Oryctolagus cuniculus: one gene and its partner. The protein of the gene in region 2 interacts with the protein of the main gene of each other region in a pairwise test. Links are inferred from orthologs where the notes say so. Each region holds a gene or a part of one and is shown on either strand. Other genes may lie near its edges.

Region 1 (5,980 bases), on a different chromosome or scaffold from region 2:
AGTTCCTGGCTCCTGGCTTCAGCCTGGCCCAACCCCGGATGCTGTGGGCATTTGGGGAGAGAACAAATGGATAGGAGTTTTCTGTGTGTGTGTGAATCTCCCTCTCTGTCACTCTACCTTTCAAATAAATAAATCTTTTTTTTAAAGATTTTATTTATTTATTTGAGAGGTAGAGTGACAGAGAGACAGAGAGACAGACAGAAAGGTCTTCTATCTGCTAGTTCATTTCCCAAATGGTTGCAACGGCCAGAGCTGGGCCAATCCTAAGCCAGCAGCTTCTCCCGGGTCTCCAACACAGTGAAGGGGCCCAAGCACTTGGGCCATCTTCTACTGCTTTCCCAGGCCATAGCAGAGAGCTGGATCACAAGAGGAGCAGCTGGGATACAAACCAGCACCCATATGGCATGCCAGCGCCATAGGCAGAGGCTTAGCCCACTATACCACAGTGCCGGCCCCCTCAAATACATAAAGCTTTACACACACACACTTTTTTGAAAACTCTGGTCTTTCTGAAACACCTGATTTCACTATCCCACGCCCCACAGGATGCACTACAAAGTCCCTGGAATGGTGTATGAGGGCCACAGATTACCGCGGCCTCTCCTCCACACACTGTCACAGTGGGCAGGGACACACAACAGGACAGAGGGGAGAGGCCCATCCTGCCTCACACCTCCCACCACCAACTCTTGCCAAGTCTGCGGGTTTTCTCACACCTCCAGCCTCACTCACATCTACGTATCATTTTTGTTGTTCTTAAAGATGTATTCGTTAATTTTGAAAATCAGAGTTACAGAGATGGAGAGCCGGAAAGAGATCGTCCACCCACTGGTTCACTCCCCAGATGGCCCCAGCAGCCAGCGCTGGGCAAGGCCGGTGCCAGGAGCTTCATCTCAGTCACGTAAGTGCCTGGCAGAGCCCAAGCACTTGAGTCGTCTCCCTCCGCTTTCCCAGGCCTTAGCAGGGAGCTGGACGGGAAGCGGAGCAGCCCATACTGGATGCCAGGGCTGCAGCGGCAGCTTTACCCACTGTGCCACAATGCCAGCCCTCGATGTCTCTTTCAACTCAAGCATCGCCTCCTCTCCAAGGCCCTGAGGGCCTAAAGGACATCCTCTCCCTGACCAGCAGCCTGAGCCACGTCGCAAGCACAGCAGTGTACTATTCCTCTCCCTCGCTGTGCTAACAGGGAGGCTGACACGGTGGGCATCCGTGTACCAGCCACACTGTGCGGCTGCTGCAGGCAGGCCTCGGTGCGTCCTGACATGCGGGAGAGTGCCTGGCAAGCAGAAGCTGCTAAATCCACGTTTCCTGAATGTATGAAACCACTTCCTGTGCATCTCCCACTGGCATGATCAATGGGCGCTACCAAAAATCTGGCTCTTTTTGTCTCTGGAGATTCGCTGAATGGATTTCGAACTATGAGACGTTTTCACAGATGGAAAAAACACTTGCTACAGAATTTTACTTCTAAAACTATTAATGTGTGTTCTCGCAAAAATAAATAAACTCTAACAATTGCAAAGACAAGTCTATTTTCTGATGCCTAATGAAAATGTTTAGTATTGGGCTGGCGCCGCGGCTGACTTGGTTAAGCCTCCACCTGTGGGGCCGGCAAGGTTCCAGTCCTGGCCGCTCCTCTTCCAGGCCAGCTCTCTGCTGTGGCCCGGGAGGGCAGTGGAGGATGGCTCAGGTGCTTGGGCCCTACACCTGCATGGGAGGCCAGGAAGAAGCACCTGGCTCCTGGCTTCAGATCGGCGCAGCGCCGGCCATAACGGCCATTTGGGGAGGGAACCAATGGAAGGAAGACCCCCCCCAACTGTCTAACTCTGCCTGTCAAAAAAAAAAAAAAGAAAGAAAAAGAAAAAGTTTAGTATTAATTGATAGTGACTCACACAAACCAAATATTCTATAGCAAGGAAGACAGACAAGAGCCAAACCCCGTTTGTGAAGCAGAAGCTAACATAACACCCCAGGAGTGGCCTTGTTCATTCCTGCTCCTCCCAGAGTGCCCTGCTCCAGCCACGCCGTTCCTTCACCAAAGACGCGATCGAGCTGCCTAAATAAGACGAAGACGAGCATTCCTGCTGCCCGCTCTCCTCCTCACTCAACAAATACCTACTAAATATCAATCGGTCTACTGCATCCCAGCCCCTGGGGACAGACCAGTGACCAACACTCCTGGCTTTCACCCAGCTCAGATTCCAATAGCGAAGCATCACCAACTGTGTACAGCACCAGAGAGAAACAGGACACGAGCGAAGGGGAACCTTCACGGGCAGCTCTTCGCAGGAAGCCTTTCTGCACTTCTCTGTGAAAACTCTTCTTAGTCCTCCAAGCAAGAACAAATTATTCAACAGGAAAAAAGTCAGCATAGGGCTGGCACTGTGGCGCAGCGGGTTAGGCTGCCACCCACCACGCCAGCATGCCTTATGGGTGCTAGTTCAAGTCCTGGCTGCTGCACTTCCAATCCAGGTCCCTGCTAATGTGCCTGGGAGGCAGCAGACCATGGCCCAAGTACCTGGGTCCCTGCCAACAATGTGGGAGACCTGAAGAAGCTCCTGGCTCCCACCTCGCCTCAGCCATCGTGGCCACTTGGGGAGTGAACCAGCAGATGGAAGATCCATCTCCCCCGCCCCTCTGTGTGTGTGTGTGTGTGTGTGTGTGTGTCTATCTGTCTCTTCCTCTGACTTTTAAATAGATAAATAAACTCTATAAAAGCCAGCATATAATGAGGATCTACATGCAAGGCACTCAACAAGATCCTGAAAATAAAACTGTTAACGGCCATAGCTGCAAGCTTCAACCTCATAGTCCCACTGGACAGGCAGACATGTTCATTCCACGAACACTGAACACTTTGTGCCAGGCGCTATACTGGGTGCACTAACTTCTCAGGACAATCCCCTGAGACTGCTCATGGCCGGAAACTGAGGCACCCAGAGGAGAAGCAGCAAGGCCTGGGGACACACAGCACGTCACTGGCAGGGCCATACAGTCCGTGCCCCTAAGCACCTCGGTCCGGGTTATGCCACCGAATCCTCAGAAAGCAATCTCCCTGGTCAATACACAGGCTCGAACCAGGAGCTAGGGAGCTAGGGCGCACACAGGAGTGGGGGCCGCACTGTCGTGAAGAATAAAGACTGCACTCTTACCTGCACTTTACAGGTACTACATGGCTACCCTGTCCGCCCCGGGAGATGCCCTGCCCTGCCGTATCCCAGGGGTCTCCTAGTGGGACTCAGGGACACAGCGTTCCCTCGACGAAGAGCAAGCCCCGGGACCCGGCGCGCGCCCCCCAGACCCCCTAAGCTCCGGGTCCGCTCGAACGTGCCCCCTGCGGGCCCTGGCAAGCCGCCAGAAGGCGCACCTCCCGAGGGAGCCTCGTCGCCCCACGACCCCCGCCCGCCTCCCTGCACACTCTCGCGGCGCGGGACCGCCCGCCCCTGACTACCTCCCGGCAGGAGCAGCGAGGCCGGGGTAGCGGCGGCCTGGGTGACCGGGATGAAGGGCACGTTGAAGCTGAACTCTGTGGCCGAGGACGAGAAGAGTAAGTTAGTGCCCGACGAGGAGGCAGACGCGCCCCCGCCGCCACCGTTAGGCTTCCTCTCGGCCATGGCTGCGGCCCACCGTCCGTTACACGTCTCCCGGTAGCCGGGGCAGCGCCACCGGCCGGAAACCAGTCACCCTCGGGCCAGCGCACTTCCGCACTTGCGCCCAGGGACCGGAAGTAGCGGCTCCCTCCCTTCCCCTAGCTCGCGTCGCCAGGAAATAACAAGGCGGCGCCGGCGTCACGCCAGGGCTTAGCACGTGACCCCTGTCGCGGCTGCGCGAGCGAGGCTGGAGGCGGAGGGACTGGGAGAGGGGACGGTGGCCGCTGCCCGTCCTGGGTGTGTGCGCGAATGGACGCTGAAAGCCGCCGATTGCGAGGGGCGCTCCGGGCTTCCTAAAACTGTCGGAGAGATGGCTGAATGGACAGATTTGGGGAGGCCAGGGGAAGCGAGGACGAGCGGCCGCTCTCGCAGATTCGTGCCTTTCGGGACTGACCCTTGCCCCGTGGCCCAGGAGCAGAGCTGGCAAAACTTGAGACATGCTTAAGCCGTCGTTCAAAAGGGAAGCCAGGGGCTTGAGGTTGCAGGCGTGTGCCTTTAAAACAGGAGCTTTTTCTGTCCACAGTAGCCTAGTCCGAGCCGTAGTTGTCCGCTTTCACAGCTAGAGATTACAGAGGGGAAAATACAGAAATGGCCAAGCAGCGTCCTGGAGACTCCCAGAGAGGCCTCAAAGTAGCGAGCCAGGCCGCGGGTGCTGACACCCATGTGGGGTGTCAGCTTATTAAATCAGTTGACGACCCGATTTGCCTGCTGTCAAAGAGTTTTTTAAAAGCCAGAGTCTAGTTACAATGGTAAGACATTATATTAAGTAATTACCTTTTTTTTTTTTTTTTTGGACAGGCAGAGTGGATAGAGTCAGAGACAGAGAGAAAGCTGTTCCTTTGCCGTTGGTTCACCCTCCAATGGCCGCCACGGCTGGCGCGCTGCGGCCGGCGCACCACGCTGATCCGAAGCCAGGAGCCAGGTGCTTCTCCTGGTCTCCCATGGGGTGCAGGGCCCAAGCACTTGGGCCATCCTCCACTGCCCTCCCTGGCCACAGCTGAGAGCTGGCCTGGAAGAGGGGCAACCGGGACAGAATCTGGCGCCCCAACCGGGACTGGAACCCAGTGTGCCGGCGCTGCTAGGTGGAGGATTAGCCTAGTGAGCCACAGCGCCGGCCCAGTAATTACCTATTGCAATAGGAAGGTGGCCCGACAAGAACTGGACTCAGCTTTGCTCAAACAAAAAGATTTATTTACTTTTTTATTTATTTGAAAGGCAGAATGACAGACCATCCTCAAAGGGCAGCAACGGTCGGGGCTGGGCCCATCTGAGGCCAAGAATTCCACCCTGGTCTCCGACCTGGGTGGCAGGAACAACCCAAGAGGAGGGGTCATTTGTAGCCTCCCGGGCACATTAGCTGAGAGCTGGGTGGGAAGCAGAACAGCCAGTGTTGTGTCCGGTTTGAGACCCTCCCCAAAACAACTCACAAAAGGCAGACGTAGGCCAGTGCTGAGGCAAGAAGCCTGGTCCCTCACCTTCCCAGCATTTTTACCCACTCAAGTAAACAAGTACATATGTCACTACACACCTAGGCGAGTTCCTTATTCCTTATATGGCAGTTACCTAAATTTATGCATTTTATTGGTGCATTTGAGCAACTTAAGGGCTAGGCGGAAGAATCTAAATTCCAGGAATAGCTTCATTCCCGTACCCTTAGGCCTGTCTTTTCTGGCTTAAAATAAAGCCTGTCATGGAGGAATGGCGGGTCTTGCGACAGGAAGGTCCTGAAAGCTCTTAAGACCAAGATTTTAATATGTTGCCCCATATTTTATATCATTTAATCTTAACATACTACATATTATTAAGTCTTAATTTCAAATGTATTTAAACTAACTTACGGTTTGAATTAATTACTCATAACTGAACTCTACACCAGGATTCAAACAGGCTTGTTCTGAGTTGGAGACTTTTCCAAGGCTGAGTTGTGCTGAGAGCAAGGGGTGTGTGTGGCGCTTGGGCCCCACGTTACCATCTGTGTGTTAACTGGTACTTAACCCAGAGGAGACCTGCAATTCCCAGTTCCTGAAGACAGGCGGTGGTGTAAGTTGGAGCAAGGCACACCCAGGGACTGGGAATGAGAGAGAGGATTGTTGGCCGGCGCTGCGGCTCACTAGGCTAATCCTCCGCCTAGCGGCGCCGGCACACCGGGTTCTAGTCCCTGTTGGGGCGCCGGATTCTGTCCCGGTTGCCCCTCTTCCAGGCCAGCTCTCTGCTGTGGCCAGGGAGTGCAGTGGAGGATGGCCCAGGTGCTTGGGCCCTGCACCCCAGGGGAGACCAGGAAAAGCACCTGGCTCCTGGCTCCTGCCATCGGATCAGCGCGGTGTGCCGGC
Region 2 (5,996 bases):
CCCCTGAAGAGGGGGGAAGAGACCCTCGCCCCTCAGAGCCCTGCAAGCCGGGGCTGGGGTGCGGGTCCCCGGGGACCGGAGCTTGGGCGCAGCCCCTCCCGCGAGGGCCCGCGCGCCAATGGGAGCCCGCGCGCTGCCGTCACTGCCCTCCCGCGCCCGTTGCCCGGCGACGCGGGGACGTCGCGCAGGGGCGCGCGCCCACTCCTGCCCGCCGCGGCCGCGGCCCTCTCCCCGGGGCTCGGCGAGGTCACGTGGCAGAGTCACGGCTCGCAGCCTCGGGCCCCATCGGGAGGCCTGGCTGCGGTGGCCGAGGCCGGGAGCCCGCGCCCCCGCCCGCCCCGTTCGGCTCTGACGCCACTTCCGCCGGCGACCCCTGCCCGACCCCGCTCCCCCACACCTCGTGTAAGGTGCTCGCGGGTCCTCCTGCGACGCGAGGGGGCGGGAGACGCCTGCAGGGGCGGGGGTGGGGGCCCTCACGGCGGCCCCTGCGTCGGGGAAGGGTCAGGCGCTGCGCAGTGCTGGGGCCCACGGCCGAGCAGCACGGGGCGCGGGAGTCCCGGGGAACATTCGGGGGCGCCGCGGGCCTGAGTGCCCCGGGAAGCGCTGCTGTCCCCCGCACCCCGGCGGGCGGCCACCTGACGCTGATCTGCTTGTGTCCTCGGCAGGTGCACGACGCCAGCTCCCCGCCCGGGGGCGGGCGCCTGGGGGCCGCCATGGCCCCCAGCCACCTGTCCGTGCGGGAGATGAGGGAGGATGAGAGGCCCCTGGTGCTGGAGATGTTAAAGGTGAGCCCGGGGGCGGGGGCCGGGGTTCGCTGGGAGTGGGCTCAGCCGCCCCGAGCGAGTGTCCTCCGAGGCTGCCTCTTCCCTGGGTCCCCCTGGCTCCCGGCTGCCCTCTACCCTTTGCCAGGGGCTGGCAGCAGCTGGCTGCTGGAGGGCGCAGGCTCTGACGGGCAGGGCCACGGACCTGGATGCCCCCGCCCCCAGCTTCTCACCCATGCAGCCCCCACACCGCCTTCCGCTCCCACCTGGGGCCCCTCCCCCGCCACACACAGTGTGATGGACAGCCGAGGACCCCTCTCCACAGGCCGGCGTCAAGGACACGGAGAACCGGGTGGCCCTCCACGTGCTGACGCGGCCCCCGGCCCTGCTCCTCCTGGCCGCGGCCAGCAGCGGCCTGCGCTTGGTCCTGGCCTCCTTCGCCCTGGCCCTCCTGCTGCCGGTGTTCCTGGCCGTGGCTGCCCTGAAGCTGGGCCTGCGAGCCCGCTGGGGCTCGCTGCCTCCCCCGGGCGGCCTGGGGGGGCCCTGGGTGGCCGTGCGCGGCTCCGGCGACGTGTGCGGGGTCCTGGCCCTGGCCCCCGGCACCAGTGCAGGGGACGGAGCCCGCGTCACCCGCCTTTCTGTCTCCCGCTGGCACCGGCGCCAAGGCGTGGGCAGAAGGCTGCTGGCATTCGCCGAGTCCCGGGCTCGGGCCTGGGCTGGGGGTATGGGGGAGACGCGCGCCCGGCTGGTCGTCCCCGTGGCCGTGGCCGCCTGGGGCGTGGCCAGCATGCTAGAGGGCTGCGGCTACCAGGCAGAGGGTGGCTGGGGCTGCATGGGCTACGCGCTCGTGAGGGACTTCTGCAAGGACCTGTGACCCCCACCCCTGAGTGTCCCCGTGGCCACCGGGAGGATGGGGCGGGGCTGGAAGGTGGCGCCCGCTGCATGCCCGGTGCCCCGTGCGTGACTCCCCAGCACACCTGGGGCTCGGCCGCCGGTCTGTCCGCGTGGTGTCTGGGGGGGTCTGCACTTCTCAGGAATCCCTCTTCCCTCGTGGCTCCTGGGCCACCAGAGGTCACGGACCCACCCCCGCCCCCAGCCCAGGGGCACCTGTGTCCCCAGCCTGCCCCGCCCTCCAGGAAGGGACACCTAGCGGAGTTGGGAGCTGCACAGGACACGGCCAGAGGGGACAGGGCCTCCCGGGGAGAGGGGTGGGGGACACGAGGTGCTGTGGGCAGCGGGCACCCGGCCGCGGCTGGGGAGCTGCGAGGGGCCGCGGCTCTTCCTCCGGACCCAGCCATCTGGTTTCCTACACTGTTTGTTAATAAAGCCCGAAGTGGCCTCCTCTCTCTGATGCCTTTTCCAGTCTGTCTCTGGACCCCCGCCTCCGCCCCCCCCCCCCAGCTTCTGTCTGGCTCCTCCTTCCCCCGAGTTGACATTAATTGTGGGTGTCTGGGGGGAGCGGGGAGGCGGTGAGCTCACAGCAGCCCCGGTCCCTGCCAGTCTCTGAGTCACGCTCCCCATGACTGCATTTTTTCCAGCTCACAGCTGCCTGGTGCAGGGGACGTGTGTGTGTGTGTGTGAGTGTGAGTGTGAGTGCGAGGAGTCTGCGGAGCCCCCTTCCCGCCCCCTCCCCACTCCGGTTCAACGCCTCCGGCCTCAGATGGCCGTCTGAGGGGGTTCACGTTCAATCCCGCCGATGAGGAATGAGGGAGGGAATGGACGGAGCAGTTTTCCATTCTGCTCCCTCTAATCCAGGAAGTCCCTCCTGGTGTCTGGCTACAGGCCCTCTTGCTACCGCTCCCGGAGTCCCAGATCTGCCTGGCCCCTGACCCCAGCAGGGGTCAGAGCCCACTCCCCAGAAGGTCAAGGGAGGAGGCAGGAGAGTGGGTGCCCCGCCCGCGCCCCACGCGTGCACCCGCCTTGCCCCTGCCCGGCAGCCTGCCGTCCCTCGGCTTGGGCCTGCCTGGCCGTCTGCGTGTGGGTGTTAGCCGTTCACCCTCCCCCCGCCCGCCACCCCCCTCCTCCCCATGCCGGAGCCGCTCGCCAGCCCCCTCCCGCCCTCCGGTCCCCTGCCGCCTCCCTGCAGCCTCTCTTCCTCCTGGTGGAGCCTTGGGCCCCTGCCTGCTCCTCCGCGGGTCCGGGCGCCTCCGGCCGGCGCTCCCTCCCTCGCCTCCGCCCTCGCTTGGCTGCCGCCTGCTCCCCTCTCCTGCCCTCCTTCCCCTGTCGCCCCATCCCCTCCCCCGGACTCTGCAAACATGAGGGTCCTGGCCTGCCTCCTCGGTGAGTGACCCTTCCCCTGGGGACTCAGGGGATCCGGGCCCCCACCTCTGACCCCTTAGCACGTCCAGTTTAGGGACTGGGGCTTCCGGGAACCCAGTCCTTGGTGCCTCCAGATAGCCTGGCCACTGGCTGCCCTGCCCGGCCCCTCGGGGACTCAGCCTCCTGAGAACAGAAGGGGCCTGGCCCAAGCCCTGGTCCTGTGGAGGTCACGGGCCATCTGACCTTTGGCCAAGCAGAGCCCCAGGTGCCCAGCCCTGGCCCCAGGCCAGGCGTCCGAGCCCCACCCGTCTCAGGCTTGGTGGCCCTCTGCCCGGGCTCTGGCTCCCAGCTCCCAGCGTGGGTTTCTGGGTCAGAGGCGTGGCTGCTCCGAGAGTGAGTGTGCGTGTGTGTGTGTTTCGGGGTATTCGGGATGAGGCGGGACCCCCGGGGCCTGCCTCTCACGCTGTCCCCCAACCTCTTGCAGTGGTGCTGCTTGGGGTTCGGGCCATTGGTAAGTCCCAGACACTCTCCCCGCAGCTCCACGCCTCCCCGGGTCCAGGCCTGGCCTCCCGCTCCTGCTGGGGGTACCCCCGTTCCACCATGACCAGCACCACTGGGCACCCCAAAGTCTGGCCCCGGCCCCCCGACTGCACCCCACAGGACAGCCTGCACCCCCTACCATCACTCTGACCCCAGACCTCAGGGATGGTCACAGCCTCTCCTCTGCCCCCCAACCAGAGCGGCTGCGCCTGGCCGACGGCCCCCACGGCTGCGCCGGCCGCCTGGAGGTCCGGCACAGCGGGCGCTGGGGCACGGTGTGTGACGACGGGTGGGACCTGCGCGACGCCGCCGTGGCCTGCCGGGAGCTGGGCTGCGGGGGGGCGCTGGCTGCCCCCGGGGGCGCCTTCTTCGGGGAGGGCGCAGGCCCCGTGTGGCTCAGCGAGCTGGCCTGCCGCGGCGGCGAGGGGCACCTGGGCCTCTGCCCCCACCGCGGCTGGAAGGCCCACATCTGCAGCCACGAGGAGGACGCGGGCCTCGTCTGTGCAGGTGAGCGAGCAACCGCCGGAGGCTCCCAGCCCCCGGTCCCCTCCAGAGCCAGGTCTCGCCCTCCATCTGGGACCCCCAACTTAAACCGCTCCTGAGCCCCAGACCCCCCACCCCGTATTTCAGCCCCTGCCCATCTCCCTGGGGACCCCCATGAGCCCTCCGCCCCGGCCACCCTCCTCTCAACCTCTCTCCTGCAGGTCAGCGCGTGGCCGATTCAAGGGACGAATCACCTCCCGCCCCGGACGGGGACCCCTGGCTGGGGCTGCCTGGGGAGCTGAGCCCCAGCTCCGAGGAGCCCCCTGTGACTCATGGTGCGCCCGGAGGACCCCCACCCCGGCTCCACCTCCTGCTTCAGCTGTGGGGGAGGGGACGCACAGGTCCCCAGGCTGGCTCTCCTGGCCCAGGGCGTCCTCTGGCACTGTGGCCCTTGAGAGGGGGCTCCTGGTCCTGTGTGGGGGGACGGGCGGCAGCCCTGCCCCTGACCTCCTGCTGTCTCCCCTCCCAGCCCCCCGCCTGGCCGGAAGCCCCCGGAAGAAGAGCCCCCGGCCACCCAAGCAGGTCAAGTCCACCAGGGCCCCTTTGCTGACGGCTGGGGCCCCCCGACAAGGTGGGTGCCCTGCAGACATGACCTGCACACTGTGAGAGCCCAGGCCCACCGCGCGGGGCCCCGCCTCGGAGCCGCCCCTCCCTGGGACTCAGGGGCCAGCCTGGTCTCCCCTCTTCTTGCCGTCCCTGACGCCTGCCCCATCAGGGATCCTGCCTCAAAGATGGTGGCTATTTCCCCCGAAGGGGCCGGGGGGAAGGCGGACCTCAGACCAGTGCCCGCTCCGGGCCTCGGTTTCCCAGGAGGGGGCTGACTGCTTCTCCTGAGCTGTGGTCAGACCCCTCACGGCCCCTCCCTCCCACCCGTGCCCCCCTCCAGAGCGGCTGCGCCTGGTCTCAGGCCCCCACAGCTGCGCCGGCCGCCTGGAGGTGTTGCATGGCGGGCGCTGGGGCACCGTGTGTGACGACGGGTGGGACCTGCGCGACGCCGCCGTGGCCTGCCGGGAGCTGGGCTGCGGGGCCGCGCTGGCCGCCCCCGGGGGCGCCAGGTTCGGGCCGGGCGCGGGGCCCGTGTGGATGGACGACGTGGGGTGTGGAGGAGGAGAGCAGACCCTACGGGACTGTCCCCGGAGCCCCTGGGGCCGGAGCAACTGTGACCACAGTGAGGACGCCGGGCTGGTGTGCACGGGTAGGTGAGGCTGGCCCCTCCCCCACCTGCAGTCAGGGCCCCCGGGGAAAGGTGCTGGGGCCGGCCACAGTGAGGACGCCGGGCTGGTGTGCACGGGTAGGTGAGGCTGCCCCTCCCCCACCTGCAGTCAGGGCCCCCGGGGAAAGGTGCTGGGGCCGGAGCCGGGGCTCCGCTGCAGGGCCAGGGCTCTGCCAGGGCCAGGGCTCTGCCAGCGTTCCGGATGGAGCCGTAAGGCTAGGAGTGCCCTCCTCAGGGGTTCCCCCAGGGCGAGGAGGCAGGGAGCTGAGGCGGAGGGGGAGGAGTGACCTGGGGGCCGTGATGCCGGAGCAGGGCTCTGCTTCCTGCCGGGGGCTCCTGCCCTCCCTGTTCCTCTGGGACCTGGGATGGGGCCTCCCAGGAGAGCCCCGGGGTGCACCTGCCTGCCCTCCCCCCTTCCCTTCCCATTCCTCCTTCCTTCCACATACGTCCTGCACCGGAAGCCCAGGCAGGCCTCCTGCTCCTGGGCTCCTTAGGCTGCAGGAGCCGCGAGGCTGGCCGACTGCCCCAGTTGCTGCAGGTCTACATGGCCCCAGCTTGCCTTGTGCCAAGCGGACGGCGGGCAGGCACCGTGTCCCCGTCCTCCCGAGCCTCCTGGGGGCCCCACGACATGGACTCGGGCCCCTCTCCCTTCCCAGATGGGGAAACCGAGGCTCCTACAG

What was found.
Region 1: the proteins of SSC5D (region 2) and SEC23IP interact in binary tests that used the Homo sapiens proteins (3 or more experiments, as listed by UniProt). The two-hybrid records come from large-scale screens. The link is inferred for Oryctolagus cuniculus from reciprocal best matches to the Homo sapiens genes SSC5D and SEC23IP.

The regions. Positions count from the first base shown.
Region 1 is NC_091446.1:10,802,352-10,808,331, forward strand, and holds the start of SEC23IP (SEC23-interacting protein), read right to left. Parts: upstream 3,698-5,980; 5' UTR 3,615-3,697; coding exon 3,452-3,614; intron 1-3,451. UniProt on the Homo sapiens protein: Plays a role in the organization of endoplasmic reticulum exit sites. Specifically binds to phosphatidylinositol 3-phosphate (PI(3)P), phosphatidylinositol 4-phosphate (PI(4)P) and phosphatidylinositol 5-phosphate (PI(5)P).
Region 2 is NC_091449.1:3,474,330-3,480,325, reverse strand, and holds the start of SSC5D (soluble scavenger receptor cysteine-rich domain-containing protein SSC5D), read left to right. Parts: upstream 1-2,260; 5' UTR 2,261-2,788; coding exon 2,789-3,041; intron 3,042-3,504; coding exon 3,505-3,531; intron 3,532-3,758; coding exon 3,759-4,067; intron 4,068-4,264; coding exon 4,265-4,378; intron 4,379-4,572; coding exon 4,573-4,674; intron 4,675-4,989; coding exon 4,990-5,298; intron 5,299-5,996. Other genes in the region: NAT14 (probable N-acetyltransferase 14), read left to right, coding at 714-785, 1,087-1,635.